Linked DNA regions of Ovis aries. The protein of the gene in region 6 interacts with the protein of the main gene of each other region in a pairwise test. Links are inferred from orthologs where the notes say so. Each region holds a gene or a part of one and is shown on either strand. Other genes may lie near its edges.

What was found.
Region 1: the proteins of KRT40 (region 6) and ZNF202 interact in binary tests that used the Homo sapiens proteins (3 or more experiments, as listed by UniProt). The two-hybrid records come from large-scale screens. The link is inferred for Ovis aries from reciprocal best matches to the Homo sapiens genes KRT40 and ZNF202.
Region 2: the proteins of KRT40 (region 6) and LAGE3 interact in binary tests that used the Homo sapiens proteins (3 or more experiments, as listed by UniProt). The two-hybrid records come from large-scale screens. The link is inferred for Ovis aries from reciprocal best matches to the Homo sapiens genes KRT40 and LAGE3.
Region 3: the proteins of KRT40 (region 6) and SHFL interact in binary tests that used the Homo sapiens proteins (3 or more experiments, as listed by UniProt). The two-hybrid records come from large-scale screens. The link is inferred for Ovis aries from reciprocal best matches to the Homo sapiens genes KRT40 and SHFL.
Region 4: the proteins of KRT40 (region 6) and MXI1 interact in binary tests that used the Homo sapiens proteins (3 or more experiments, as listed by UniProt). The two-hybrid records come from large-scale screens. The link is inferred for Ovis aries from reciprocal best matches to the Homo sapiens genes KRT40 and MXI1.
Region 5: the proteins of KRT40 (region 6) and CCDC185 interact in binary tests that used the Homo sapiens proteins (3 or more experiments, as listed by UniProt). The two-hybrid records come from large-scale screens. The link is inferred for Ovis aries from reciprocal best matches to the Homo sapiens genes KRT40 and CCDC185.
Region 7: the proteins of KRT40 (region 6) and SH2D4A interact in binary tests that used the Homo sapiens proteins (3 or more experiments, as listed by UniProt). The two-hybrid records come from large-scale screens. The link is inferred for Ovis aries from reciprocal best matches to the Homo sapiens genes KRT40 and SH2D4A.

The regions. Positions count from the first base shown.
Region 1 is NC_056068.1:34,082,025-34,086,238, forward strand, and holds the start of ZNF202 (zinc finger protein 202), read right to left. Parts: upstream 2,801-4,214; 5' UTR 2,689-2,800; intron 2,450-2,688; 5' UTR 1-2,449. UniProt on the Homo sapiens protein: Transcriptional repressor that binds to elements found predominantly in genes that participate in lipid metabolism.
Region 2 is NC_056080.1:79,963,787-79,966,675, forward strand, and holds LAGE3 (EKC/KEOPS complex subunit LAGE3), read left to right. Parts: upstream 1-1,195; 5' UTR 1,196-1,242; coding exon 1,243-1,436; intron 1,437-1,760; coding exon 1,761-1,889; intron 1,890-2,054; coding exon 2,055-2,169; 3' UTR 2,170-2,389; downstream 2,390-2,889. UniProt on the Homo sapiens protein: Component of the EKC/KEOPS complex that is required for the formation of a threonylcarbamoyl group on adenosine at position 37 (t(6)A37) in tRNAs that read codons beginning with adenine.
Region 3 is NC_056058.1:12,503,755-12,507,805, forward strand, and holds the start of SHFL (shiftless antiviral inhibitor of ribosomal frameshifting protein), read left to right. Parts: upstream 1-1,251; 5' UTR 1,252-1,339; coding exon 1,340-1,360; intron 1,361-1,818; coding exon 1,819-1,942; intron 1,943-2,133; coding exon 2,134-2,183; intron 2,184-3,553; coding exon 3,554-3,592; intron 3,593-3,734; coding exon 3,735-3,884; intron 3,885-4,051.
Region 4 is NC_056075.1:30,309,417-30,313,475, forward strand, and holds the start of MXI1 (max-interacting protein 1), read left to right. Parts: upstream 1-1,259; 5' UTR 1,260-1,505; coding exon 1,506-1,767; intron 1,768-3,380; exon of another isoform or gene 3,381-4,059. UniProt on the Homo sapiens protein: Transcriptional repressor. MXI1 binds with MAX to form a sequence-specific DNA-binding protein complex which recognizes the core sequence 5'-CAC[GA]TG-3'. MXI1 thus antagonizes MYC transcriptional activity by competing for MAX.
Region 5 is NC_056065.1:26,076,934-26,080,963, forward strand, and holds CCDC185 (coiled-coil domain-containing protein 185), read left to right. Parts: upstream 1-1,467; 5' UTR 1,468-1,526; coding exon 1,527-3,416; 3' UTR 3,417-3,530; downstream 3,531-4,030.
Region 6 is NC_056064.1:40,929,765-40,933,799, reverse strand, and holds the start of KRT40 (keratin, type I cytoskeletal 40), read left to right. Parts: upstream 1-1,235; 5' UTR 1,236-1,237; coding exon 1,238-1,684; intron 1,685-2,519; coding exon 2,520-2,602; intron 2,603-4,022; coding exon 4,023-4,035. UniProt on the Homo sapiens protein: May play a role in late hair differentiation.
Region 7 is NC_056079.1:37,635,031-37,639,134, reverse strand, and holds the start of SH2D4A (SH2 domain-containing protein 4A), read left to right. Parts: upstream 1-1,304; 5' UTR 1,305-1,655; intron 1,656-1,916; exon of another isoform or gene 1,917-1,975; intron 1,976-4,104. UniProt on the Homo sapiens protein: Inhibits estrogen-induced cell proliferation by competing with PLCG for binding to ESR1, blocking the effect of estrogen on PLCG and repressing estrogen-induced proliferation. May play a role in T-cell development and function.

The DNA.
Region 1 (4,214 bases), on a different chromosome or scaffold from region 6:
TTAATATTCTGTCAAGATACTCCCTGCTCTGTATCTAGATGACTTCCTCCTGGCTTTGCTCCCCTCCATATGATGAGATGATGAAGGACGGGACCCATGCCTGCTGGACGAGAAGAATCGGAGTGGTACCAGGTTTCCACTGCAGACTACGTGACGGCCCTAAAGTAGAAGTAATCACAGGATGCCATTCTTGTGCTGTTTAGTGTCTGTCTCCCACTGTGAGCCCCATCCCTGAAGGCAAGGGCCTCCTTATATATTTTGATATTTCCAGTTCTTAACGCTTTGGTAAACACTTGATTAAAAAAGATGCTCAATAAAAAGTGTGATGCATTCAATTAAGTGGCTCACTTCTCTTCCTCCAACTTGAATATTCAGTTGTAGTTCAGAATCAGTGGGTACCAGGGCTTCTGGGGACAGTTACAGGAATTTGACATAAGCATTTATTTCAATCCCCTGCGGAGAATCAGGTGGCATGGACACATACTACTTTGCTACAAAGAATTAGTGGAGAGAAACTTCTTCAAGAGAGGAGAAAGGCAAGGGATGAAGTTCATTCAGCCCAGAAATATCTACTGAACATCAATTGTGTTTCCCACACAATTCAAGGTGCTGGGCAAAGAAAGAGGAAAAAAAGCACAGGCCTTGATCTGAAAGAATTTAATGTAGTTAAAAAAACAGCAGGGACTTTAATATACTAGGAACTCACAGCAAAACTTGAGAATATGGGTATAAGCTATATGATCAAAATTAAAGCTCCTATTAAGAGAATTAAGAAAATCAAGGGGAAAACTCAATATTTCACCATCAATTCAGCTTAAGATAATGTTGCACTTGGCTGCAAAGAAGGACATTTTCTTAATTTCACAAATGAAAGAACTCAGACCTAAGTAGTTATACTACCCACACAAGATCGTGTTACTAGTTTCAAGCAGAGAGGTGCTCACACACAGTTCTTTTGATGCTCAAACCACTGGGACGTGTGAAGAAGTTTGGCCAAAGGCAGTGGTTCTCATTCTGAGAAAGCCAGATCAGCAGCGCCAGCACCAGAGGACTTGTTAGAAATGCAAATGATCAAGACCCAGCTCTGACTTACAGACAGTATCTCTGGGGGTGGCTCCAGTAACCTGTGGGCCTTCCAGGGGATGCCGATACTTGCTAAGTCTGAGGACCAGTACCAAAAGCAAAGGAAGGAAATCTAAGGTACGACTTTTCCAGTGCTGCCCAAATGTAAAGGCAGAAAAGTGTCTAGGACCATTATATGTTTTACGCCTCTGCCAAATAATTGGAAAAATAATGTTGTAAACCTGTAACTTACCTCATCTGTATAGTTTATAATGCTCAAGAGTCCCTCATTTAGTAGTAAACCTTGATATGCCCTTGAAATGACTGTCTACTGACGTATATACAGAGAGAGTGCAAAAGTGGTAGAGCAGAAGAAAGGAGGAAAGCCTAGGAATCCCAGGTGTTTGGTCCTAGGAAAAGTTCCCATCCTCCCTGCACCCCTGGCAACCTTCTTACACCGGACGGTAAAAGCACAAAGTTACCCAAGAAAAATGCCTGCAATCCCTAACAGCTCCCCTGTCATGTATCTCCCACTAACAAGCCTCCCATGGCTGCTTCACACTTCCTAAGTGGCTTTCTGGCTCAAGGCCCATAGAGCAGCTTGGAAGAGAAGTTGGAGGGATGAGCGACTCCACTAGCTTTCCTTGTGGCTTCTGAGTGAGGCTACCCTGGGTGTCACCAGCAGAATGTGGACAGACAAAAAGCAACAGTTCTAAGTCTAGCCTCTAAGTAGACCCTGGATGTGCTAAGATGTGAGAGCACCCCAGGACCAAGGCAGGCAGGGTTATCAAAGTGACCAGGAGAAAAGAACATCCGTGTCCAGAAAAATTAAAACCTGGCTGACAACTTTCCGAGAAAATGAAGCAAATCCATGGCAGACAAAGTAACAAACTTTTAGTGAAACCAGACAAAAAGCCGGGCCCGGGTAGCGATGGTGTCGAGAAGTGCCAAAACTAGCTGCTAGGGGTTGAGGAAGGGACGTTGCAAGTTGCAAGTGAAGACAGCAGTCGCTAGCTTGAAAGAAGATTCGGATCGGTCATGGTGAGCTGAAAAGGCACAGACCAGATGGTCTCCAAAGCCTCCGATGATCACGGGTAATAAAATCACGGGTGAGTGTATCTACGTGTGTTGCAGCGGAGTTAGTGGTTGGCAAGTGATGGGACTCGCCAGGACAGGGAGCCTTCGGGAGGACTGCTCTAACCAGGTGAGAAGCGGGGTGAGAAAACACCGAGCCGCTGGAGAAAACAGTTCAGGCCGCCGGAACTGAAGGGGCCTCGACCACTCCTCCCTCGGTTTCAGGGGGAAGGGGGGCCGCTGGCGCGGAAGCAACGGGAGGTACGAACTAACTGCGTTTCTGCAGGCCTCAGGAGGGGGCGGAGGGCGGTGGCTGCAAAGAAAGAAGCATGTATCGCCATCCACATCTCCGGAGGCTCTAGCTTCGGCCTCCAAGACACATGGGGACCACCACGCCTCGGCCCCCTCCACGCACTGCCGCCACCCCTTCCCCAGGACAGTACGATTCCCCCGGGGCTCCAGGGGGGCGGGGTCTCCGACCCCTCCCCCTCCTCGCCGCTTAGCCCCGCTCAGCCCGCTCCGGCCCGGCCCGGCCCAGCCCCCAGCACTCACGGCTCCAACAGCTCCGGCGGCTCCTCCCCTGCCCCGGCTTCTCCCCCACCCACTCCCGGCAGAGGCAGCGCCGCCGGATCCGAGCCGCGCGGGGCCCGGCGGGTCGGAACACGTGGGGCTTTTGCGCCCGGAACCGGAAACTGCCCTTCGCTCCGCCCCCTCGCCGCCCTGGGGCCTTTCTAGGCTCTGGGAGGATTGCTTGTTTCTCTGTGCCCCCTGGTTCTAGGAGGCTCACCGGGACGCGAATCCGAGTCAAGGGCTTCAGATAGATCGCTTCTGTCCAGCTCTCCTGCCCCGCTCTGCAGGGGGACGGGCTATGGGGTTGTGGTGGGAGTGCATTTACACTCGTGCCCTTGCAGCGGGGGGTGTGTGGGGGGAACTCTTTTTTCTTTTTTCTGTTTCAGCTGTTTTGTTCGTTTTAATTTTGATACCTATATCTTTACCTGTTTTTCTTGGTCCCCTCCCCCCCCTTTCTTTGCATTATCAGGGACACATGGTAGAAAAGAGCAGTTTGGGGGTTGACTACTGCCTCTTGTAGCTGCCATCAGTTGTAGGGATTCGGACAAATCCACTTCTGAACCTCAGTGTCCATCTTCTTTAATGGGCCAAGTAATACTGTTACTGTAAGGGCTAAATAATATCTTGCATGTGAACTGATTGGAGCTTAGTAGAAGCTTGCTGGTCTGCTGCTTAGTGGCTTCAGTCTTGCCCAGCTCTTTACTACCCTGGAGAACTGTAGCCCTCAAGGCTCCTCTGTCAATGGAATTTTCCAGGCAAGAATACTGGAGTGGGTTTCAGTTTCCTACTCCTTTTGTGTGTATGCACATGTGTGTGTGTGTTCGTGTTGGAGTCATCAGTTTGCCATTTTCTCCTAGTGGTGGGGCCAGTGTGAGGAAAGCAGGAGAGACTCCCGTCCTGAAACCTGTCATCCATCTTAAAGCAAGATGTAAACTGGGCCTGAACCCTGCCCAAGAGTGAGGAGACTGTTGCCAATGAAAATCATATCTCCTGGAGACTTCCCTTCCTACAGATGGCAAACGCATATTGTAGTTCAGGTCAGGCTGCCCCTCTTAGATTAACCATGAAGACATCCCCCCTTGATGTAAAATCATTGTCCCCCCTACCCCCCTCACACATAGGGTTTAACCTTAATTGTTTATTCTCCTAGCACCTACTGTAAAACTCAGTCATATACAACAAAGAGGTTGCTAACATGTAACCAGTCCTGTGGGGGCCAGGGGGCGTGGTGTAAAACTGGGCCTCAGAAACATCAGGGTCCTTGTTGGGAGCTGATTCCCCTTGGACCTGCTGGCATAATAAACTGTACTCCACTGTCTTGAGTGTCCTCTGAGGTGTGTTTTGTGACTTTGGATTCCACAACATTAGCAAGGGGTCTTGGACATCTGTTCATAGTACATATATTTCATCCTTATTCCTTCTGTCTTTCTGCATGACATTCCACAGTCTGAATAGCCATTCGCCTAGTAATAATATATGTTGTTTATAATTGTTATCATGGACAGTGT
Region 2 (2,889 bases), on a different chromosome or scaffold from region 6:
ATGCCTGGGAACCACTAAGCCAAGTACCACAACTACTGAGACTGTGCTCTAGAGCCCACGCGCCCTACAGCCTGAGCTCTGCCAACAAGAGAAGGCACTGCAATAAGCCCGCTTGCTGCAACTAGACAAAAACCCTCACAGGAAGGAAGACCCAGCACAGCCAAAAACAATTAAATTATATGTGAAATATATATATCAAGTTCAGGGAGATAGGGTGGCCACCGGTGGAGACTAGCAATGAAGGGGGAGAGGGTAGGCTGATTCAGGATGGATTTCGAGGGGTGATCCAACAGGCTTTGATAACCTACTTCACCTTTATGCCCTTCCTTCTGATTACAAAGGAGGAAAACAGAAAACTAACAGGGCTATCACCATCAGAAATTTCATGTCACTTTAAAAACTTATTTTTGATTAAAAATGCCGTATAAGGTTACTGTCAAAAACTTGCAGAACAGAAAAGGGAAGTTAAAATCGAGTCATACAGTTTGTGAAAGGCCCGAGCTGTGGGAAAGAAAGAGTTAGTCGCTCAGTCGTGGCCGACTCTGTGGTTTAGTCAGTAAGTCGTGTCCAACTCTTGCGACCTCACGGACTGTAGCCCCCAGGCTCCTCTGTCCATGGGGTTCTCCAGGCAGGAATACTGGAGTGTGTTGCTATTTCCTTCTCCAGGGGATCTTCCTGACCCAGGGATCAAACCCGGATCTCTTGCATGGCAGGTAGATTCTTTACCCACTGAGCTACAAGGGAAGCCCCGAACTGAGGAAGGGAGATTCATTTCTCTGCGGCCAACGGAGATTCCCCTCGGCCGGCCGGCTCCACCAGACCTGTTTGCGCAAGCGCGCGGGGCGGGGTCGGCGCGCGGGGCGGGGTCGGCGCGCGGGGCGGGGTCGGCGCGCGGGGCGGGGTCGGCGCGCGGGGCGGGGTCGGCGCGCGGGGCGGGGTCGGCGCGCGGGGCGGGGTCGGCGCGCGGGGCGGGGTCGGCGCGCGGGGCGGGGTCGGCGCGCGGGGCGGGGTCGGCGCGCGGGGCGGGGTCGGCGCGCGGGGCGGGGGCGGCGCGCGGGGCGGGGGCGGCGCGCGGGGCGGGGGCGGCGCGCGGGGCGGGGGCGGCGCGCGGGGCGGGGGCGGCGCGCGGGGCGGGGGCGGCGCTTCAGGAAGAAGCAGCAGTTTTTAAGCTGCTCGCGTAGCGGGTGGGCGACGGAGAGTCCTGGAGCCAGTGGGTGGGGTTGGAGGCGGAGCACGGCAGCCATGCAGGAGACAGGTGGGGACGTAGGCGCAGGCATCCTGGCGGGTGGCGCCGAAAGCCAGGGCCGGCGGGGGTTCGGGGGTGGCCGGGGCAGCCCCGGCAGCGCGGGTGCTGCTTCCGCTGCAGACCACGGAGCTCCGGGTGTCGCGCCGGCCCAGCACTCTTCCCAAAAGCCGGGAAGCCGACCATGCGTATTGTATCCTACTCGAGGGGCAGTGCGGATTGGGCTGGGGGATGCCTGCGGTGGGAGGTGGGACAAACGGACCGGCGGGTCAGGGGCTGCTGGGGGGTGGAATGGCCAGGGCGCCTGGGGCGGGTAGAGAATAGAGAGCTGAAGGGAGACTGGAAGCTGGGATGGGCCTGGGTGGCGTGGGTCGGGGGGAGAAATGGGATCTCGGGGCAGTGGGGTGGCTGGGCTGGATTAGGGCTACGAGCGGCCCGGAGGGGCTGGAAGCGGTCCTGAGACAGGACCCAGAGCTCCAAATCCTTGTGGGTGGTACCTTAACCGCATCTCCATCAGCACCCTAAGCGTGCCTTTCCCGTCCGCGTTGGAGGCAGAGATTGCCCATGGGTCACTGGCCCCAGATACCGAACCTCACCGTGGGGCGGTTGGGAAGGAGCTCACAGTGAGCGGCAATGTCCTGGCTGTGTAAGTTGGAAAAGGGGCTGGTTGGAAGTGGTAGCAGGTGACCAAGCTTGTCTCTCGCCGGGGGCGCTCTGTTTGGACATACTCAAGGGCTGTGTTTATGGAGGTGACGCAGTGCCCTTGATTCAACCCATCTCCACCTTGATTCTCTTTTTCTGTCATTTTCAGCTGCTGGAGAGCTGAAGATTGCCGCCTCCTTCGAATCTCCATTGTCAACTTTCTGGACCAGCTTTCTCTGGTGATGCGAACCATGCAGCGCTTTGGGCCCCCTGTTGCTCGCTAAGCCAGGGCTGGGGAAAGGGGGGTCTGATCTGGTGGCCCTTCCTAGACAGTGCATCCTTCCTAGGGCAGTGATTCCTGCACTAGTTGCCTATTATGGGGGCCTCATCTTTTGGCTATAATGGCCCTTGGGTGCTCAAGGTCCACTTGCATTGTTTGGTACTTAAATGTTTCTTAACTACTGAAAATAAAATTGACCTATGATGAGTTTATTTTCAACTGTAGCACCTTCAAAATTCTTGCATTTGTTCTTAGATGGGAGGGTTCTGATTCAGATAGTCAAGTAGTACAGTGTAAGTGAAGATAATCTAAGAAATGGAGGAGGATAGGTCCTGTCTCTCATTCAGTATTAGCTACTATCAATATTTTGGAGTATTTTTGAGTTTTATAGTTACATAGTAAATGTGTAATAATAATATTTGATATTTTGCAAGTTTAGCATTTTTCCTGGTATTTCTCATCTAACATGAACTTTTTTCTAAAAATTCTTCAAAATCATTATTGATTGTTTAAACTATTTTCAGTCTTTGCCATATTATAGGTAATGATTCCATGGAACACTTGTATATAGATCTTTGCATGAATGATTAAGATTACAAGAAGTAGAATTAATTAAATATTTAAAGCTCTCAATCTGAAGCATGTGAAATTACTGTCCATAAAATGCCCTCCCACCAGAATTCTGGTTTCCCCACATTAGTGTCACCATTGGGGGCTTCCCAGG
Region 3 (4,051 bases), on a different chromosome or scaffold from region 6:
TCGAGGAATTGAGCTTCCACATCTTTACTGATGGAGGTTAAACAATTTGAGGGGTGTCATTTATCCTAACACAATTTTGCCACCCCCAGGGAACATTTGGCAACGTCTGGAGACATTTTCAGTTACCACGACTGGGGCAAGAGTGCCACAGGCATCTAGCGGATTGAAGCCAGGGATGCTGCTAAATATCCTACAATGCACAGGGCAGGCCTCCAGAATCACCCAGCCCTAAATGCCAATAGCGTTGAGGTTGAGAAGCCCTGGCTTAAAGCGCTAGTCACTTTTTTCTGGGGTCTTTGCACCCAAAGCTGTTCCATCCCGCACTCCGATCTTCTGACTGCTGAGACCTCGGTCTTCCGGACTCCTCCAAGAAGCCATTTTTTTCTTTTTTTAAAGAAACCATTTCTGATGCCGCCAGGCAGGGCTCTTCCAGCCCCCTCGCCCACCCCCCACCCCCCATGCTGGGTTAAAATCGTCCTGATCCCTCGGGGTTCTCAATCTTCCGTTTTTCAGCGCAAATTCCCTGGAACCCCTAGACAGACCGATTCTGCAAGACTGTGAGGAACCAGGAATCCGTATTTTTAACGAGCATCTTCTCCCCACCACAACTGCCTGCTTCTTAATATCTTGCACATAGTAGGTGGCCCAGTGACTAGTTGAATGTCTACAGCATGGCAGGCGCTACTAAATACTCGACCTGGGGATCTCGAATCCTGCACCTGCGCGCGCGCGCGCACAGGCATGAGCGCGCGCGAGCACACACACCCGTCCCCAGGATGTAGCCACTATCATCATCCCCACTTTACAGCGAAGTAAACTGAGGTTCAGAGAGAAGACATAGCCGGATAAGACACTCAGAGCGAGACAGGGGTCTAGATCCTCATTAGCGCCTGATTCCGGGTGGAGGGAGGGGACCGAGCGATGAACAGGGGAGCGCGAACAGGCGGGGGCACGGAGACTCGCCGCGGCCTTCAGATGCGGCCCCGCCCCCACGAGGGACGTGAAGACGCGGACCCCGCGCAGCGTGGGGACATGTGACCGACTGCAGAGGCCGCGCCGCTTCCCCCGCCCGAGTTCTGCGCGCTCCGCCGCAGGGTGCAGATCCGGGGCGCCCGCCTGGGTTTGGGGCGCAAGAGCAGAGGCGGAGCCAGGGCGGAGCCAGCCCTCCCCGTCCACCCCCCCGTTCCCAAACGAAAGCGAAACGGAGCGCAGGAAAGGAAGGGCGGAGCCGGCCTGGAGGCCCCGCCCCCTGCCCTGCGCGGCCGGACCGACGGGCGCGCCCAGGTAGGGGGCCGCCGAGCGCGCAGTGCGGACCCTCGCGGGGACCTACGCCGCCACCATGTCTCAAGAAGGTGTGGAGGTAGGAGATGGCTACAACTGGGCCGGTGGCCCGCGAGAGATGCTGAGGAGGAGCTAGGGGCACGGAGCGGGCTTCGCAGTTGCTGGGGACTCCATCCAAGCCCAGACCTTCCCCCCAAGGCTGGCACTCGTCTCCCTCGGAAAGGAGAGTGACCGCCACATGCCCCGGAGCAAAATGCGGCCTCCTCGAGGGAAAGCGGGGGCTGCTGGGTCAAGGGTCAGAGGCCAGGGGTCATCTGGCCGGCCTCATCCCTTAGCCTGGGACGCTCGCCCTAGTCCGCTCCCTCCCCCAGTACTCTGTGGGGACTTTGGCTTTTTCCAGGAAATGCAGTAGAGGGATGGGGGGGGGGGGTGCGAAGGCCAAAACCCGGGGTCAAGTTCGGGCCGTGAAAAAAGGAAGCCTAGGGATGGAGGAAGGGCAATTGCGCTTTTCCTTCCCCCACCGGTCCCCTACCCCAGCTGGAGAAAAGCGTCCGGCGCCTCCGGGAGAAGTTTCATGGAAAGGTATCCTCCAAGAAGGCAGGGACTCTGATGAGGAAATTTGGCAGCGACCACACTGGAGTGGGGCGCTCCATCGTGTATGGTGAGCAGGTGGGGGTCCTGCCTGGTGAGAGTTAAGCTGGGGAGCAGGGAGGGGGTGTGGTCTGTGCTGGGGGCTGGAAGAGGCGATGAGATCATCTCTTTGGGGGGCGGTCTGGATCGGGGTTCTGGGGGCCCTGAAATTCCCACAAAACCTTTCAAGGGGCCTTCACTTACACTTACTCTCCCCACCAGGGGTAAAGCAGAAGGATGGACAGGAACTGAGTAATGATCTGGACACCCAGGTAAACTGCCCCCTCCCCTCAAAACACGTGGTAAGGGAAGGAAGAAGGGAAGGGTCAGGCTCATCCCTGGCAGAGCTCTTTCTGTGCACTGTCCATCCACAACTCATGGTCTAGCCTCATTCACTTACCTCTCAGTTATGGATCTGACCAAGGAGCCTGCAAACCATAGGTGCTCATTACATGCTGATTGTATGAAATGGAGAGAGACAAGAAACTAGGCAGTGAAAAGAATCCGGATTATCATCATTACAGAGGAGCCAAAGAGGTCAGGGAAGGCTTCCTGGAGGAGGTGGTACCACATTCTTCAAGCCTAGGGAGGAGTGATCCCTGGGAAGGGGAGGGGTTGGAGATCTTCCTGGAAGAGAGGGTGACCTGAGCAGAGGAACTTGCAGACAGGTTGGGACGAGTAAGAGATAGGGGAGGAAAGAGGGGCAGGGAAGCCCATGTAAATGAATGACTAAAGCAATGAATGAATGAGAGCCTTTGTATGGCCACTTTGCCCCTTAGATGGCCTTGGTAGCTGGTGCACTGGTTTGCCTGTCTGAAAGGGCCCAGCACAGAGCTGTTAAAGAGTATAATAAAGTATGTTTTATACTTGTAACATTTATATATTTACAGTTATACATATAATGAGTATAATAAAACTAGCAAAGAGTATCATTGATTGAGCACTTTCCCTGCAACAGGACTCCAGGAATTCTGTTGACTTATTGCCACAGGTCCTGTGAGACAAGTCCTATTATTTATCATATCCACTTGACAGATGAGGAAACTGAGACACAGGGTGATGAAGTCACTCACCAGGCTCATGCTGAATGCAGGTGGTGACTGGGATTTGAACCCAGGTCACCTAGAGTCAGAACCTGGACTCCTAGATGTCCTTCATTAGGGAGAGTGGCTTGGCCACGACCCCACAGCTGGAAGTGATGAGGCCAGGATTCCAACCTGTGGCTCTCTGAATCCAGAGCTCAAGCACTTAGCCTAAAGCAGCATAGCCTCAAACAGGTGACCTGTCACAATGCCAGCAAGTGTGTGGCATTTGCCAGCATGAAGGGAGCATGGGGCCCAGGCCTGTTGCCCACACTCACTCAGGGTAATCTCAGGCAAGCCCTCTCAGAGCTCTGGGCCTCAGTTTCCCCATCTGAGCAATGAGGATCACAGGTGTGCCCACCTCTCAGGGTTGCTATGAGGACAACTGAGGTCACACACCCTTGCCCTCAGGAAGTGGAAACTGCTCAATTAACTCCTCTTGAGTTGGGGACACCTTACTCATATGGGGCCAGAACCCTGCCTCCCCATCCAGAAGCCCTGCCCCCAGAAAAGAGGCATGAGCCACCTCCCCAGTTTCTACCCCTGATGTTTCCACCCAGGACCCCCCAGAGGACATGAAGCAGGACCAGGACATCCAGGTGAGTCCAGGGTGTGGGATGGGGAGGTGGAGCGGTGTGCACACCCCTGGGGGTATCCATACGTGAGAAGGAGGGACAGGATAGGGGTTTGGAAGAGAAGAGGACTGACCGCCCTCTTGGCCCCGCCCACCCCATTCTGCAGGCGGTGGCGACATCCCTCCTGCCACTGACAGAAGACAATCTACGCATGTTCCAGCGTGCCCAGGAAGACCTCATCCCTGCCGTGGACCGGCAGTTCGCCTGCTCCTCCTGTGACCATGTCTGGTGGCGCCGCGTGCCCCAGCGGAAAGAGGTGATAACCCAATCCCTGACCTTGGTTCTGTCCCGGCTCTGCTCCCAACCCCCATTCTGTGTCCAAACCAACTGACCTAAGAACATCAGCCTCTGAGACCCCAACCCCGGACACCTGCAGCCTCAGAGATCAACCCCAATCTCAGCCCCAACGCTGACCTACTGAGC
Region 4 (4,059 bases), on a different chromosome or scaffold from region 6:
GACAAGTGTGTGTGAAGCTGTCTCTAAGCAGAGTGGCTGGGTTGCACAACTCCAGGGGGCAGCATTCACTGTGTCTTCTGTATAAATGGTTTCCCTGGAGGAAACCTCCAGGAGACCTTGCAAGGCAACAATATTTAGATAGGCTTATTGCACAGATGTTTTTCAACAAAGTGCAGGAGAGTCTTGTTTCCTATAACTTATTTCTCCTTTTAGCTGCCAAGTAGGGGACTCAGGTTCTTATCTGGGTCTGTATTGGAAGAAAAAGATCATACTATGAGCATGCTGACTGCAGATATAATTTAATCAACTCATGAATCTTATCAGAGGTTTCATGGATGGGGAAACAGGCTGAGAGAGGTTAGGGGACTTGCCCAGGCACACTCACAGTCCAGTCTGTGTGCAGCAGAGCTGGGGCTTGAATGCCTCTCTATGGCATTCCCCAACGGCCCTGACTGCCACCACACTTCCCAGGCCTGGAAAGCATCCATGGTTCCTGCAGACCCTGAATGGTCTGCACTGGCAATGGAACAGTGTCGCCTAGGGTAGGGGTCTTCAGAACCAAAAGGTGGAATTCAGCCACGGTAGGGGTGGGAAGTTCCTGGGCTGCCACGTCCGCCTTTCTGCCAAATAAAATAAAAGAGAGCCAGGTGTGGAGGCTCCCTACTGTGAGCTTTGCACAGCTGGACTAAGGCTGGGAAGAGGAGTGTGGGGAGAGACGCTTCCATCTCCTCCCCCTTCCTGGAAAATAACTCTGCATTTGAAGGGAGAAAGAAAGAGTGAGTAAATTTGTAACTGGGATTTGGTGGCCTGGGGATTTCATTTGGCCCTGTGAAGGCAGATTTCTGTGCCTCTGTGTGTGTGCGTGTGCGTGTACGTGTGTGTGTGTGTGTGTATGTAGGAGTGTGTCTATTGAGGGGAGAGAACTTGAGGTAACGTGTATGATTTTTTTGGACTGGACTTTTATTTTTTAAGTCATAGCAGCTACCGTTGGAATCTAGTATGTGGTGCCAGGCATTGGTATTATTTTCACGTGAAGTAAAAGAACAACAGTTTAATAGTTTGTTTTTCTGTGGGTACGCTCCGAGCCCTCGAGTATTTTTTCCATTTGGGTTTAAATACTACGCTCTACAATGTGATAAGATTGGGGAGAGGCGGGGTAGTATGCCAGGACTGGCAGGGGGCGGTCCCTGCCTCGCTTGTCTCCGCCTTTCATTTTGACCAGTCCGATGGCGACAGGCTCGCACTAGGACCCAGGCGCCAGAGCGCCTCCGTCTGTCCTGTAGGTTCATTCAATCTCCCATACACACAGACCCACAGCGAGACCGACACACACTCACACACACTCAAACACACAACAGCACGCAGCGAGGCTCGGGAAGTCAGGTCGCCTTCTTGCCTCGGCGCCTTCTTCGCTCCAGCCAGCCGGCTTTCCCCCGGGGCCCGGAGCTTGGCCGGGCCGCGCAGCCCCGAAAGAGGACGAGCTCGGCGGACCCCGCGGTCCCTCCATGGGCAAACGCGGGCGGCCGCGCAAGGAGGCGCGCTGCGAGGGCGCGGGGCTGGCCCCCGCCGCGCCCCCGGCCGTGACCGCGCCCCAGCCCCCGGCCCAGCCGGAGGAGCCCGCGGGGGCCAAGCTCAGGTGCCCCTTCTCGGACATTTTCAACACCAGCGAGAACTCGATGGAGAAGCACATCAACACTTTTCTGCAGAACGTGCAGATTCTGCTCGAGGCCGCCAGCTACCTGGAGCAGATCGAGAAAGAAAACAAAAGTAAGTTTGGGGGCCCTGGCTCCTCTTCGGCGCCGGGCTCTTTCTTCCTCGCCCACTTGGGCGACCCCTGACGCCTGCTTAGCCCCCCTCTCCCCAACACACTCACATCTAGCCCTCGGCAGTAAAGCCGATGACACCGGAGAAAGGACACGCACGCACAAAGCTGCTAAAGATGTAACAAAGACGAGCAGGGGGTAGGCGGGGGGGTGGGGGGGGGGGGGGGGGGTGCTGTCGGTGCGTCAGTCTGTCCGTCTCCGGGAGGGTGGGAGAACCGCTGGGCCGAGGAGCGGGGGAGTGTTGTTGTTTGCTGACAACTGAGCCGAGAGCTCATCTCTTCGAGGTCGCGTTTCTTACTTTTTTTTTTTTTTTCCTCTCTCCTTTTTTTTTTTTCCCCCGGAGCCTTCTCGGGCAGACAAGTGTTGTTTTTCCGTCGCTCGTTCCTGGGTGGGGTGGGGATTACAAGACGAAAGTTGGAAACTGTAGGCAGAGCTCGGCGGTTCCAGAAAGAAAACACATAGACACACGACAACGATAACAACAAGCAAACAGCCCTCCACGGCGTGGGCTCCGGCTGGCTCGGCTCTGCTTCTTCCTCCTGTCTACTTTGCCTTTTCCTCTCTTCTCGCTGCAAGGCTGGGCTCAGGCCATCGCGTCCACGGAGACAGTGCCCCTGCGCCTCTGCTGCCCTAGGTGCCCCTGCCCCCGACTCCCCCCACCCCCAAAGAAACAGGCCGGCAAAACCAAGCACCGCCAGCAGCTCGCCCGGGACCCGCGGTGCTGCGCCCGGGAAACTTGGCGAGGGGGACTCAGCGAGAAGGAAACTTTGGGATCTCGCAGGAAACAATAGTTGTGGAAGAAGGTGTGGGCTGTTATGTGCTGTTTCTTTATTTTCCGGGATACGGCTCCCGAGTGAGCGCGCTGGGCGAGGAAGGCAGATGCCTTCCTGGTGGCTTTCTACTGCTCCCCCAACCCCCACCCCAGATTCAGGTGGAGAGAGATGGTTGCGGGCGGGGGTGGGGGGGGCGGGCTGGGAGCCCCACCCCGGCCTGGCCTCCTTTTTCATATTTGTTTGTTTCATTTTTGCCTGGGTCCCCCAATCCTCCCCACGCCGTCGCCTCAGCGCCCTAACGGGGGCACGCGAGTGCGGCGTCTCCAGCACGGTTCTCACAAATAATAGCTGCGAGGAGGAAGGGGCCGAGGCGGACAGGCCACAGACTAGAGAAAAGCTAGCTGTTTAATCTGTCCGAGCAAGTAGGAAGATCAATGAGATGAGAGAAAAAGAGGGGGGGGGGGTGAGAGAAAGAAAGGGAGAAAAATGGTCCGATTGCAACGTGTCAAGTCTTGCAACCTAACCCCCCCAAACACAACAACAACCCTCAAACACAAAAACACCCTAGATGACCGACACCCCAGGCCTTCGGGGTTAAAGTAACCGCGTGATGGCAGCGAAATCGTGCAGTAGCTTAAGGCAAAAACAAGGATTTGTGTTGGGAGGTTGGTGGTGCGTTCTTTTCTTTTCTTCTGTCCCTGTTTTCTCGGGGTGCCTGGGTTACGAGAAAGGCGCATCGCCGGCGGTTGCAGCCGAATCAGTTTGCGATTATTCCGGGTGTCGGGTGGGGGGCAGTATGCCTTCGCCTGTAGGGTCAGAGCTGGTGGGGAGGTGGGTGAAGACATGGTTTTGTTTGGTGTGTTTGCTTTTGTTGGAGGGGGAGGGGCGTGATTTCTTACTCTAACCACCCCCCCCCGCCCGGGTCCCCCATTCCCCCGAGTCTGTCCCGTGGCGCCGGCTTTGGCGGGGGGGTGCACCCAAAAAGGGCACCTTGGCAGTGAGTGGCAAACCTGGTTTGCCCCCGCCCGGTCCCCTCTACAGAGGGGTGTACGAGAAGCTGCTGGAGCTTCCTCCGCGTCCCGCGTCCCCCGCCCCTCGCACTCGCAGACAATCGGAGACCTCTGTTCCCCACCTCGCCGCCCCCACCCTCGCTCCCCGACCGCCTCGGCCGCCGCCACCTCCTTGTTTACCCGGTGCCGGGGCTCCGGCGTGGCCACCAGTCACGTAAGCAAAGGGCCGGGCGCGCCGGGCCGGACTGCCCCGCACGGGGCGGGCCAGAGGTAGTGGAGCCGGGCTCCGGGGACCGTGCAAGCCAAGGGGCTTCCTCCCGGTCCCCTTACGGAGGCATCCGCGCTGCCACCCCCCGAGAGGGGCTTGGGAACCTGGGCGCCCTCAACTTCGAGTGCATAATCAGCCCCTCGGCCCGGTTGCCCTCCTCCTCCGGCCGGCTCCCCGCTGGAGTA
Region 5 (4,030 bases), on a different chromosome or scaffold from region 6:
TAAGCTAGGAATCTGTAGAAACTTTCGTAAACCCATATATAGTAAGTCCCCTACATACAAACCTTTAAGTTTTGAACTTTCAAAGATGAGAATGTGCATCTGGTTCCAGCAGGGAACCAAACTTAGAACACCAATGTCAGGCGAGAGTGAAATTGCACCTTGCCCTCCGTCTCCTGTTGCTGATGATTCTTCAGCTCTCCCATCTCATCTCCCACCTCCTCTCCCTCCTCTAGTCAATAACTCTTCTTGCCTGTTCACTTGATGCTGGCCCCTGTGTGCCAGATGCTGTACTGTACTACTGCACTTTTCATGGTACTGTACTGTAAGATTAAAAATGTTTTATTTTTTTGTGTATGTTTTGTATGTATTATTTGTGTGAAATGTATTATAAACCTACCACCTTACAGTACTATATAGCTGACTGTGTTAGTTGGGTACCTAGGCTAACCTTGTTGGACTCATGACAAACTGGATTTAGGAATACACTATTGGAATGGAACATGTTCATATGTAAAAATCTTACAATGTATTAAATGTATTTTCTGTATTAAATCTTACAATTTGTAGCTGAAGGCTAGAAGGACATCAAAATGATATTAATTGACTGTATTAAGGTGCTAGGCTCTTGAGGCATAGTTTCATCTACCTTATGGCAGCCCTACAGTGGTATTGTCATGGCCCCTCTTCCAGTCATCTGTTCCAGAACTTGAGGGTCAGGAAAGTTATCAACTTGGCCAAGACCACACAAGTGGAAAGTGGCAGAGGAGAGTCAAGCTCAAGTCTACATGACCAAATCTAGTGCTCTTCCCATGAGCTCTGAATGCCTCAACCCGAAAAAGTCATCTCATAAAACTGGAGAAAAAGGAAAACAATAAAGTGATTTGCCATGGTGTCCACCAATGCTATTTCAGAAATATGCACCTAACATTCCTATTTTGACAAAAGCAGTAATTGCTGTATTAGGAGGAAACAAACTATTGTGTTTTGTTTTCTGTCCTCTAAAAGTTTAAAAAACTATCCTTGAGCATGCTAAGTTATAAGGGCAAAAGGATGGTGCATATAAATTAACGAGCCTCGACTTTGCCTACACTGCAGAGGTGCACTGTGGTAGGGACCTGTGACTAAAGGACTCCCCACCCCACACTTCCAGGCCACATTCTATCCTTTTAAAATTCTGCTAGTTTAAGATGTACAAATGCGAGTTCAAATTCCTGCCTGCAACACAGGTGGGGGTTCACTACGCACCCTCATCTTTAGGGTGCCCCGAACTTTCTACAGCCCCCTCTACCATACGCCCTCTCCCAGGCTCCAGCCGCCTTCCCGCCTCTCGCTGCGCGGGGTGCTAGGAAGGCCAAGGTGGGCGAGGGCTGAGGGCTGCAGCAGCCAGGTGGCGCCGGGAGCATTGTGAAGTGGCCTGAGCGTCACAGGCGGCCAGGACCCCGGGATCGGAGGGCGGGGCGGGTCTCAGCAGCGCCCCCGCCGAGACCCGGGACCCGGATTCAGACGCTGGGCGTGCAGGAAGGAGAATGGAGGACTTCGGCCGCTTCTCCCCGCGGCCCCACTCGGCCCTGTGGGAGCCTCCGCCGCCCAGCGAGGAGAGCGCATCCTTGGCTCAGCTGGACGGGTCGGGACCGCGGACCGAATCGGGCCTGTGCTCCTGGGCCCGGACACCAGGCGAGGAGAGCGAGGCCACCGCGCCCTGGCCTCACCTGCTCTGCTCAGCCACCCCTCGGCCCAGCCGGCGCCCGTACTCCGACTCGCCGCAAGAAAGTCGCAGCCTGACCGACGTGACCCGGAGATTACTAGACCGTGTCAGGAAGCCCCGACCCCGCAGCCGGCGCCTGGAGGATGTCTGGGGGGAGACAAGGACCAAGCCCCAGGAGCAGGGAGGCAGCCGGCACAGCCCGGCCTGGCAGCTGGAGCCCCAGCCTCAGCACGGCCAGCACTACCCTCCCGCCCGGGGAGATTCGCCCCCTCCTTACCCGCAGGGAGCTTACACTCCCGCGAACCGAGCCTTTGAGGACGAAAAGGCGCAGAGCGGAGACCAGTGGGCAGTGCCGGTCGGCAGGGGTCTACGTCCCTGGTCCCTTTCCTCAGTCCACACGGAGAAGTCTTCTGTGTCCTCCAGAGAGTTTGGGACGCAGTCGGGTTGCCTGCACATCCAGAAAAGACACAGCAACGATCCGGTGGAGTCATTAACCAGCCAGCTTTCCCAGTCCCTAGTTTCCAGCAAGGAGATGCAGAAGCAGCACACCCAGGTCCTCAAGAACAAGTTGGAAGAGGCAGTAATATCCTCCAGGGACCAGAAGATCGTGGCCCTGGTGCTGAGCCGGCTCAAAAAGGCCCAGAGGATGCGGGAGCTGCAGCAGCAGGCGGCCCTGGCCTGGGAGGAGCTGAAGCGCTCCGACCAGAAGGTCCAGTTGACCCTGGAGAGGGAGCGCAAGCTGCTACTGCAGCAGAGCCAGGAGCAGTGGCAGCAGGACAAGGGGCAGCGCAAGGCTCGTCTGAACCGGGAGCTGCGAGTCCGGCGGCGGGACAGACGAGCCACCAGCACGGTCCAGCAGGAGAGCAGCGGGTGGAAGGCACCGCTGGAGGACCAGGAGAAGCAGCGCCAGGAGAAGCTGGAGGGGGCCCCCTCCGAACCCGAGGCGGAGCCGGAGAAGCAGTGCCAGGGGCAACGCCTGCCAGAGAGGATGCTGCGGGACCTGCAGGTGCGAAACAGCCTGCAGCTACAGAAGAGGCTGGCGCAGGCATGTCTAAAGAAGCACGTTCACCCCACCAAGGGCCAGAAAAAGATCCAGGAGACCAGTCTCAGCTCTTTAGTCAATTACCAGGCCAGGAAGGTCCTCATGGACTGCCAGGCCAAGGCTGAGGAGCTCCTCAGGAAGCTGTCCCTGGAACAGAGCTCCCGATGGTCCCAAGAGATGCCCGAGGGCCAGATGAAGGAGCCCCACAGAGAGCTGAAGGACAGAGTCCAGAAGGAGGAGGAGCGGTTCCAGCAGGTGAAGAGGTGGGCTGAAGAGTCCCAGGAGCAGAGAGAGGAGCATAAGTCGCTGCTGGAGGAGCTGGCGGACCAGAAGATCCTGCAGACCCGGAGTCAGGTCCACAAGAACGTCAGGGACAAGGCGCACCACATTCGGGAGCTCAACATCCTACGGGAGAAGAATCATCACATCCTGAAACTGAAAGCCGAGAAGGAGGAAAGATGCCACATCGAGGGCATCAAGGAAGCCATTCGGAGACAGGAGCAGAGGATGGAGCAGATCTTGCGAGAGAAAGACGCAACCTTCGAGGAATTCCAGAAGATCTCCAGGGCCTCCAGGACAGATGACGTGAGAACACTTGCCAACAACTTCTTTGATCGGATGACCCGGGAGGCCCAGGTCCCAGCCGGGCAGCAGAGAGGGGGCTACTGAGAACCTGATGACAAACAGCTTCCAGCCTAGGTGGCTAGACAGAGATCTGGCAATGTGATTCATTTTCTAATTTGATTATGACTGAGCATTGATTTTTAAAAAGCATATAAAATAGCAGCAACTTTCTCTCACGAACTAGTTTGTTGATTCATTGGGATGGTTGAGAGGGTGGGATAAACATTTCCAAGTTTTAAGAAAATTACTTGCCTTTGTACATTTGGCTTTAAATAGAAAATACTCATTTGCCTCTCAGGTAATCTCAGAAGCGTATGAATGTCAGACACATTTTGAGGAACCAAAGAAAAAGTCTACAGTGGGGAATAGAGTTCTGTGCCATGGCTTCAGTCTTTCCCTGTCCCAGAACTTATGAAAGGGTGAAGTGTGAAGTACTTGTCATAGGAAATCTCCAAGAACAAAAAGTGAGGTGGGGAAGCATGGGGGGAATTCCTGTCAATAAGTATATTGGAGAACACAGCATACTACATCCCCTCTTGGGAGTTCATAACACAGCTGAAAATTTTAAAGGCTCTGAAAAGTCTTGCAGTAAAGACACATTTGATTAACCTAGAGTTTTTCACAAACCATGGAACTTTTTTTTCTCTTGGATCCTTCCA
Region 6 (4,035 bases):
TCATGAAAATTTTAACTTTGTCGGAGTAATGGGCTACCCACCCCATAAAGATCTTTAACATTCTGCAGACAATTTTCTCTGTACACTTTTTAAAATGAAATAAATACCACAATCAAAGGCAAGAAAACTGAAAATTGGAGATAAAACTTAAGAAAGAACCCAGAAAACTTACATCTCAGATCCCTATCCATTCAGTACTGCCCCAGGGAGTTCATCCAATGGAATTGCTGGAACTCATACAAAAGACTTTTATTCCCAAGTTCCAGCATATTTAATTTTCATGAAATTGAGGCCTTCAAAATTAAATAAATTAGTAAATCTGAGAAAACAGCTTCCATGTCCCAGAAGAAATGCCTTTTGTAACTTTCTTCCTTCTATACTGAAGTGTAGTTAACGAAGGTTTAGCTTCCTGAGACTAAAAAATTATAACAGAATTCATATTTCATTCTTATTAGAGATACAGATGAAAAATCAGTATCTCTGATATAAAAGTGAAGCATAGGAAAAGTAGAGAAGGCAAGTTTCAGGAAATCAAAGATTACAACTCCACGTTTTGATAACCAATTTATATTTTGGCATGTAGGGCAAAAGTGATGCCCATCAGTTATGTAAAGTGACTTTTCAGTTTGCACATGGGCATGTATGGTTCTCACACACACACTTCAAATTCAGTATACACTCAGTCCTCCACCATGTGAGCACAGCAAGACCACAAAAAGCATTGAAGATGGCTAATCACACAGAACACTTTTATGGTGGGGGCACAAACAAATAAATAGCATTTAAATGAGTTGTAACATTAATTTCAAAAGAAGACGAGCAGTTTTCAATGCACAGGATCAAAATCTGTAGGGATATGATTTCCTTTATGTGTAATCAGTTGTATCTATAATTACTGATTGCCCAAATTTTCTCTTTCTTTCCTTATTCTGTCAAAAGGACAATGCTTCCTGTGAAGATTTTCTGAAACAAGTGCTTTATCCTATTGGCACATGGAGATGGTGTCTTTATTTAGAAACCTGAAGTTATGGCTCTTTTACGAAGCATAAAACTCTTCTTCAGCAAATAAACAACACTAATGAATGTTCATATGAAAAATGCACCGGAAAACATCCTGTGTAGTCTGTAAATACCCATTTGAAGTGGGGTATATATAAAAGTCTCGGGAGGGAATGAGAGTTTTGGAGGCGGGCAGTTGGAGTTTTGCAACTAGTCTTTGCCCTTCACTTCTGATAGAATGGCTTCTGACTGTTCCCCCACGGGCTGCTCTTCTGAATCCAGTGCCAGGGCTTCTGATTGTGCGCTTGCCTCAACCTGTTCCGCGGCAACCACTTGTCTCCCCAGCGCCTGTGCTACATCCAGCTGCCAGACCCCCAGCTTTCTATCCGGGTCTCGTCTGCCAACTGGGTGCCTCCCACCGTCCTGCTTTGCGGGGAGCTGTAATATTCCGGGCGTGCTGGGGAACTGTGCCTGGTGTGAGGACGGTGCATTCAACAGTAACGAGAAGGAGACGATGCAGTTCCTGAATGACAGGCTCGCCAGCTATCTGGAGAAGGTGCGCGGGCTGGAGGAGTTGAATGCTGAGTTGGAATGCAGGATCCGGGAACAGAGTGAAGAGGATGTCCCGTTGGTGTGCCCTGATTATCAGTGTTACTTCGACACCATTGAAGATCTCCAGCAAAAGGTCTAGTATCCCATCACCCTAATGTTCCACCTTCCCACTCTGTGATGTGCTTTATGTTTCTACTACTACAAGAGTCTGTTCTGTGGAGGGAAACCAGGGAAAGGGGAGGGGCTTCCCAGGGGGAATGTGATGTAGAGGCAAGGGTACTGGACAAAAAGCCAGCAAACAGGGTGACCGGTGGTCCAATGGTTCAGACACTGTGCTTCCACTGCAGCGGGCTTAGGTTCCATCCCTGGTGGGGGACTAAGACCCCACGTGCCATGCGGCATGGCCCAAAAGAATAGAGGGGGAAAAAGTCAGTAAACATCAGCGCTAGCCTGTATGCTGCCGCTAATTACTAAATGACCACAATAAACCCGCTTATCCCTAAATTTACCTTGAGGAAAAGCAGTGTGATATCTAAAATTATTTCTGCGTGTAACACTGTACAAGTACATTATTTAACATAGATATGGAAATGTCATCTTTTAACCATATAATTTTACCTGGTAATTATGTCTTTTTCTTACTGATAAATTTTTATTATCATGGGTGGAGATGTAGTCATAATATAAACTCCTAGAGAGAAATCTACCTAAGTTCAGTGGCCAAGGAATACTGCAAAAATGTTTTTAAGTCATTAAAAAAAAAACAACAACCTTTTTATTTCTCTATTTTGTTTATAAATTGGCCCTCCTTTTTCCTTCATGAAATGATATGGTCAGTAAAAGCAGGCTGAAGGCCTATATTTTCTTATAAAGACTTTTAAAAGATAAACCCTGGCATAGTTATTAAATGAGTAGATATGTGGGTTTCTTTCAAAGAACCATTCATGACATAGTAACTTTCTTCCCAGATCTTGTGTACGAAGGCAGAAAATTGTAGACTTGCTGTACAGCTTGACAACTGCAAACTGGCTGCTGATGACTTTAGGTCAAAGTAAGTTTAATTTGAACTTTTTTTTCCTTGCAAGAAATTGCTTTACAATCTTGTGGTAGTCTCTGCCATATGTCAACATGAACCAATCATAATTATATATATATATAATATATATAATATATATATATATCCCCTTTATCTTGAGCCTCTCTTGCCTCAATTCCACCCCTCTAGGTCACCGCAGAGCACAAGGCTGGGCTCCCTGTGTTATACAGCAGCTTCCCATGAGCTATTTATTTTCCCCATGATAGTACGTATATGTCAAAGTCACTTTCTCAGCTTGTCCTACCCTTTCCTTCCCCTTGCTGTGTCCACCAGACCATTCTCTACATCTGCATCTCCATTTCCTCTCTGTAAATAGGTTCATCAGTACTATTTTTTTAGATTCCATATATATATATGCATTAATATACAGTATTTGTTTTTCTCTTTCTGACTTATTAATGATTCCCTCTGTATAATAGGCTATTGGTTTATCCATCTCACTACAACTGACTCATTTTTTTCCTTTTTATGGTTGGGTAATATTCCATTTGTACGTATTATCTCAATGTATGTATGTATCTTTACATACATGCATGTACATGTATGTATCTTTATGTATGTGTGTATCAATGTATGTATCTTTATCCACTCATCTGTCAATGGAAGTCAAGGTTGCTTCCATGTCCTAGTCGCAGTAAATAGTGCTGCCATGAACACTGGCGTGCATCTGTCTTTTTGAACTGTGGTTTTCTCAGAGTGTATACCTGGTAGTGGGATTGCTGGGTCATATGGGGGCTTTATTCCTAGTTTGTTAAGGAATCTCCATACTGTTCTCCATAGCAGCCATACCAATTTATATTCCCACCAACAGTGCCATAGGTTCCGTTTTCTGCATATCCTCTCCAGCATTTATTGCTTATCATTTTTTCGATGATAGCCATTCTGATTGGTGTGAAGTGATGCCTCATTGTAGTTTTGACTTACATTTTTCTAATAATGAGAGATGTAGAGTATCTTTTCATGTGTTTATTGGCCATTTGTATGTCTTATTTGGAAAAATGTCTGTTTAAGTCTGCGCATTTTGTTTGACTGGACTATTTGTTTCTCTGATATTGAGCTGTATGAGCTGCTTGTATTGTGGACTTAGAAGCAAGTACAAGCTAGAGTAAGACCAGATCTGAATTCGAACTTAACATATGGTAGGCTCTTCCGCTTCTTCTCTCACATACCTACATGCACACATCACAAGGATTCCCTTTATAATATTTTTTCAAGCTAAGAATGCTCACAAAGCTTGAATTTTTCATGATTTGGATGTAGAAGAAATTATGGCATGTGGGTTCCTTGATGTCATGTGTCCCTCAGCTGTAGGGCTCAGCACTTTTCTCAGTGTCCAGCAGAGTAAGCATTGGCTGTATCTCTTTTGCTGTAAAAGGTACGAATCTGAA
Region 7 (4,104 bases), on a different chromosome or scaffold from region 6:
TGGTCTGTGCTCCATCCCAATCTCAACAAAATAACTGCTGGGTTGGGGGCGGTGAGGGGAACAAAGGGGCAAACTTTAAACCTCCCTCAGGTTATTGTAAGCTGTGCTTAAGAACGACTTCTGGGATCACCAGCAGTAACCCTTTATAAAACTAAAATGAAATTGTGTACTTTTTGAAAAGATGGCAAGAAAGATAGAAGTTAGGAAATACTTGATTTTGAATCTAGTCCAAGCAAGAGATGAGACTTTGGTTTCATTTGTACTAGGAGACCTAGTCCAAGCTCCCTGGGAAGATCTGAGGATACCGGGAAGCTCGTAAGGGCTTTTAACAGAACTTCAAGAACAAGACAGCTGGTGATACACCTCATAAGTGTCCCTGACTTGCCAGTGGCCAGCAGGGTGAGGCTCAGCACCATCCCCTGGCAAGGCGTGGTGGCCCAGACCTCACTTGACAGGCACGTGAAGGCGGGCACCCTCCCACAACACATCCTGGATCATTGGGTGGGGAGATGTTTCCAACCCGGAACGTGGCCCAAAGGCAGATGAGAGCCTCATAGTTAAGTCACAGAGTCACTGATGTGGGATCAGTCCTGGCAACAAGTTCATGATTTCAAGGAGGCAGAAACATACATGCGGCTCCTGTACAAGGTAGTGCTGCCTCCAATGGGGCCGGCTGTCTGCTCCCTGCGTGTCTGGCTTCACCATGACCGGCATGGTGACCAGCAAGCGCTCATTAAATGCCTCTGGGGACTGTGTTAAGCTGACTTTGTCGTTCTTCAACGGCTTCACCACGGAGTGTTAGGGTTCCCTGAGCCGGCACCAGCAGCTAGCCAGGTTAAATGACACTCCAGCCAGAAATACGCGACAGGCCATAAGTTAATAAGCAGTGGGAACCAAACCCAACCAGAAATTCTGCCCTGATTAGGATCCTTAGACTAGCTCTCAAATAGCTACTCGAGAGGCCTGACTTCCGCCCCCAGGTTCTACCTCTCCAGTATCTTCCGAGGTCCCGAGAGGCTAGAAATGGGAAGGTTTCATTTTTGAAAGGAGCAAGTCAGGTAGGCTGTGTAGACAGGTCTACACTCGCTGTTTTTACCCTTTTCTCCCTGACACCTGCGACCAGGTTGGGGCAGGGTGTGGTCAGGACAGCAGGCTCCTTGCTCCACACATGCTGAACGGTCCTCTGAATGCAAAATGCCACCGGACGAGGCCACTCTGCCTCCAATGAGCTGTCCTCCCAGATTTCCTTCTCTGGCCGGCTCCTCCCCCCGGGCGCCACCCAGACCTGTGCTGTCCCCGCGCGCAGTTCAGCGCCGGCCTTCACCCTCTCGCCTTCTCCCCTTCTCCGCACTTCTTTCATTTTCTCTCCCCCCAAACCCCCTGACCGACCGTCTCCAGTCTCCATCTTCCCAGCCTTTCTCCTCCGGGTCCAGGCCTCCTACGAAGCCACACCCTTGCGGACCAGCGCCCGGGAGGAGTTTGATAATTGACTTAAGGTCAACAAAAGAAAAAAAGTGAGCTCGGAGACACTGGAGCACAGGCTCCTCCGGCGGAGCTGAGAAGGGCTCCCGGCCCCGGGCCCCAACCTGCTGGGACGCCCGGCAGGACCCCGCCCGGCCCGCGGGGAGCACGGAGGGACGCGCCGGCGGCCGCAGGTGCGGGCGGGCTGGGGGGCTGGCAGCGGGCCGGGGGGCTGGCAGCGGGCCGGGGGGAGGCCCTCGCCCGCGTCTCGGCCGCGCGTCTGTGCAGCCGGCCGCGCCCGCCTCGCCCTCGGCGCCCCCCGGCCACGGCGGCCCGGCCCGGCGCGGGCGGGAGGCGGGAGGGGCTGCCAGCGCGGGGTCTCCCCGCGGGTGGCGGTCCCGCGCTCCTCCGCCCTGCGGGCTCAGCTGCGAGCGGCCCGGTGTCCGGTGTCGGGTGTCCGGTGTCGCCGCGCCGGCAGGAGAGCGGCGGCGCAGAGAGCGGGCCGGTGGTCGCGGTGAGGGGCGCGCGGGCAGCTCCGGGCCGCGTTCGTCGGAGGAGCGCCCGGGGCTGCCGGGGAGGGAGCGCCTGGGGGTCGCGGGCGGGGAAGGCGGTGCGCCAGGCGCGCGCGCCCCGGACGCCCAGGGCAGTCCCGGATCCCGTGGGCGCGGGCTGCGCTGGGGGGCCGCGCGGGGCCGCGGTGGGCGCGCCGCCCCCGGAAGGCGGGCCCAGACGGTGGCTGCAGGCGGCCGCGCGGTGACCTTCCCCCGCCCTGGGGTTCGCGAGGGCGCCCTTGGGGTGGCGCCCGGGGCACCGGGGAGTCACTGCAGGTTCGCTCAGAGTGTCTTTCTCTCCCCAAGAGTCACAGGAAAGAGGCGACGGAGCGCCCCTTTCTTTCTAAACTTGAGTCCGCTCAACCCTAAAAGCTTTGTTGGGTGCCTGCTTAAGAGAAACAATGACTTGGATACAGGTTTTTTATTTTTTTTTTCAGTGAAGAAGTAAGTGGAATCAATGCGGGCGTAGATCTGGCGTGAGTGAAATTTCTAGATAAACCCGTGTGCGGTGATTTCAAATTTCTGAAGAGTGTTATATCATCTTTACAGAATTTACCAAATTGATGTCGCCCCCCTGCCACCAATTCATTTTATCTTCAAAGAGAACCTTTGTGCGGGTAGACTAATAAGGCAAAGTTGAATGAGATAACTGAAAGCTGGCTGTTTGAAAAGAATTATAATTCAAATGATATTCTTACCATTAAAGTTATAATGTCCATATCACAATATTTTTATGATTAATTAGGCTTTTTTTTTTTTTGGTGCTCAATTGTGTCAGACTCTTTGTGACCCCATGGACTGTAGCCCCCCTAGACTTCTCTATCCAGGGAATTTTCTGGACAAGGATACTGGAGTGCCTTGCCATTTCCCTCTCCAGGGGATCTTCCAGATCCAGGGATCAAACCCAGCTCTCTTGCATTTCCTGCATTGGCAGACAGATTCTTTACCACTGCAATGTCCTTTCGGGTAAGGTCTCAGAGACATTAAAAATACAAAAAGTCCTCTAAAAAAAAGAATCGTTGTTTAGAGGACAAGTATGAGCAAGTATGAGAGCCAGGCCACACCTATGGGAGTCCTGGGAGACAACTGTGACCCATTAGAAATTTATTTTTGGAAAAAGTAGCAGACGTGGACGTGTTGCTGGTCATTTTTGTCTTTTACGAAAAGTATTGCACAGGAAGAAACTGAGTTAGCCCAGCTGTCCTTTTTACTGGGTCTTGAATGGGGGCAGCCCGCTGCACTCAGTGTGCCCGACTCAGCCGCAGCACTGATTGTCAGGGGGTAAAATAGGGGAAATCCTGGCCAGTTGACTTCCTCCTTTCTGCTTCCTCCACCCTGCCTCCACTTGCCTCCGTAAGTCCCCGCTGGATGGTGTGGCACAGACCTCAGGTTACAGAGTCACAGTTCAGGCTCCTTTTACGGTGAGGAAAGCCAGCGCGGGTATGTGAAGTGACACCCAGCCCGGCAGAGGCAGGGCTGGCCTCCCGGGCCGCCGGCGCTGTGTTTGAGGTTCCCACTGGCGGGCCCCAGCCTCAGCGTCCCATGCAGTGCTTGTATTTCAGCAACCTCGCCCCGCAAGATTCTTGTCAGCGGGATCCCCAAGTTTTCGTTGAGGATAGGGGGAAGCCAGTGTCTTTCCCTGAAGGTCCACTAATTACCTTTAATACAAAAAAAAAAAAAAAGCATGTTTGGGGGAAACCGCACAAGATTGAAGCTGTGAGAGCTTGGACCTGTCATCCCTGCGGTACAGAGCCGCCCTTTCCCCCAGTCTGTCTCCGCTGCTGGTCTGTTCCCCAGGGGCTGTGGATGGAGCTGCGGGTGGATGCTGTGTAGACAGTGCTCTATGTGAATGCCGTGAGCCCCGTGTGTCAGTCACTGCCCGCTGTCCTTCCTGGGGTGGGGGCTTTTCCGTACCTGCCCTCCCCTAAGGCCACTTGCACTTGCAGAGATGAGGCTTCTGCCCCCAAGACGTCAACCCTGCCTCACGCACTTTGGGTTCAGCATTTCCGCTGCTGCCAGAACTTGCTTCTGAAGCGTCACCTGCAGTTCCCCATCCCGGTGATGCTCTGATTCTGAAAGGTGAAAGTTAAAG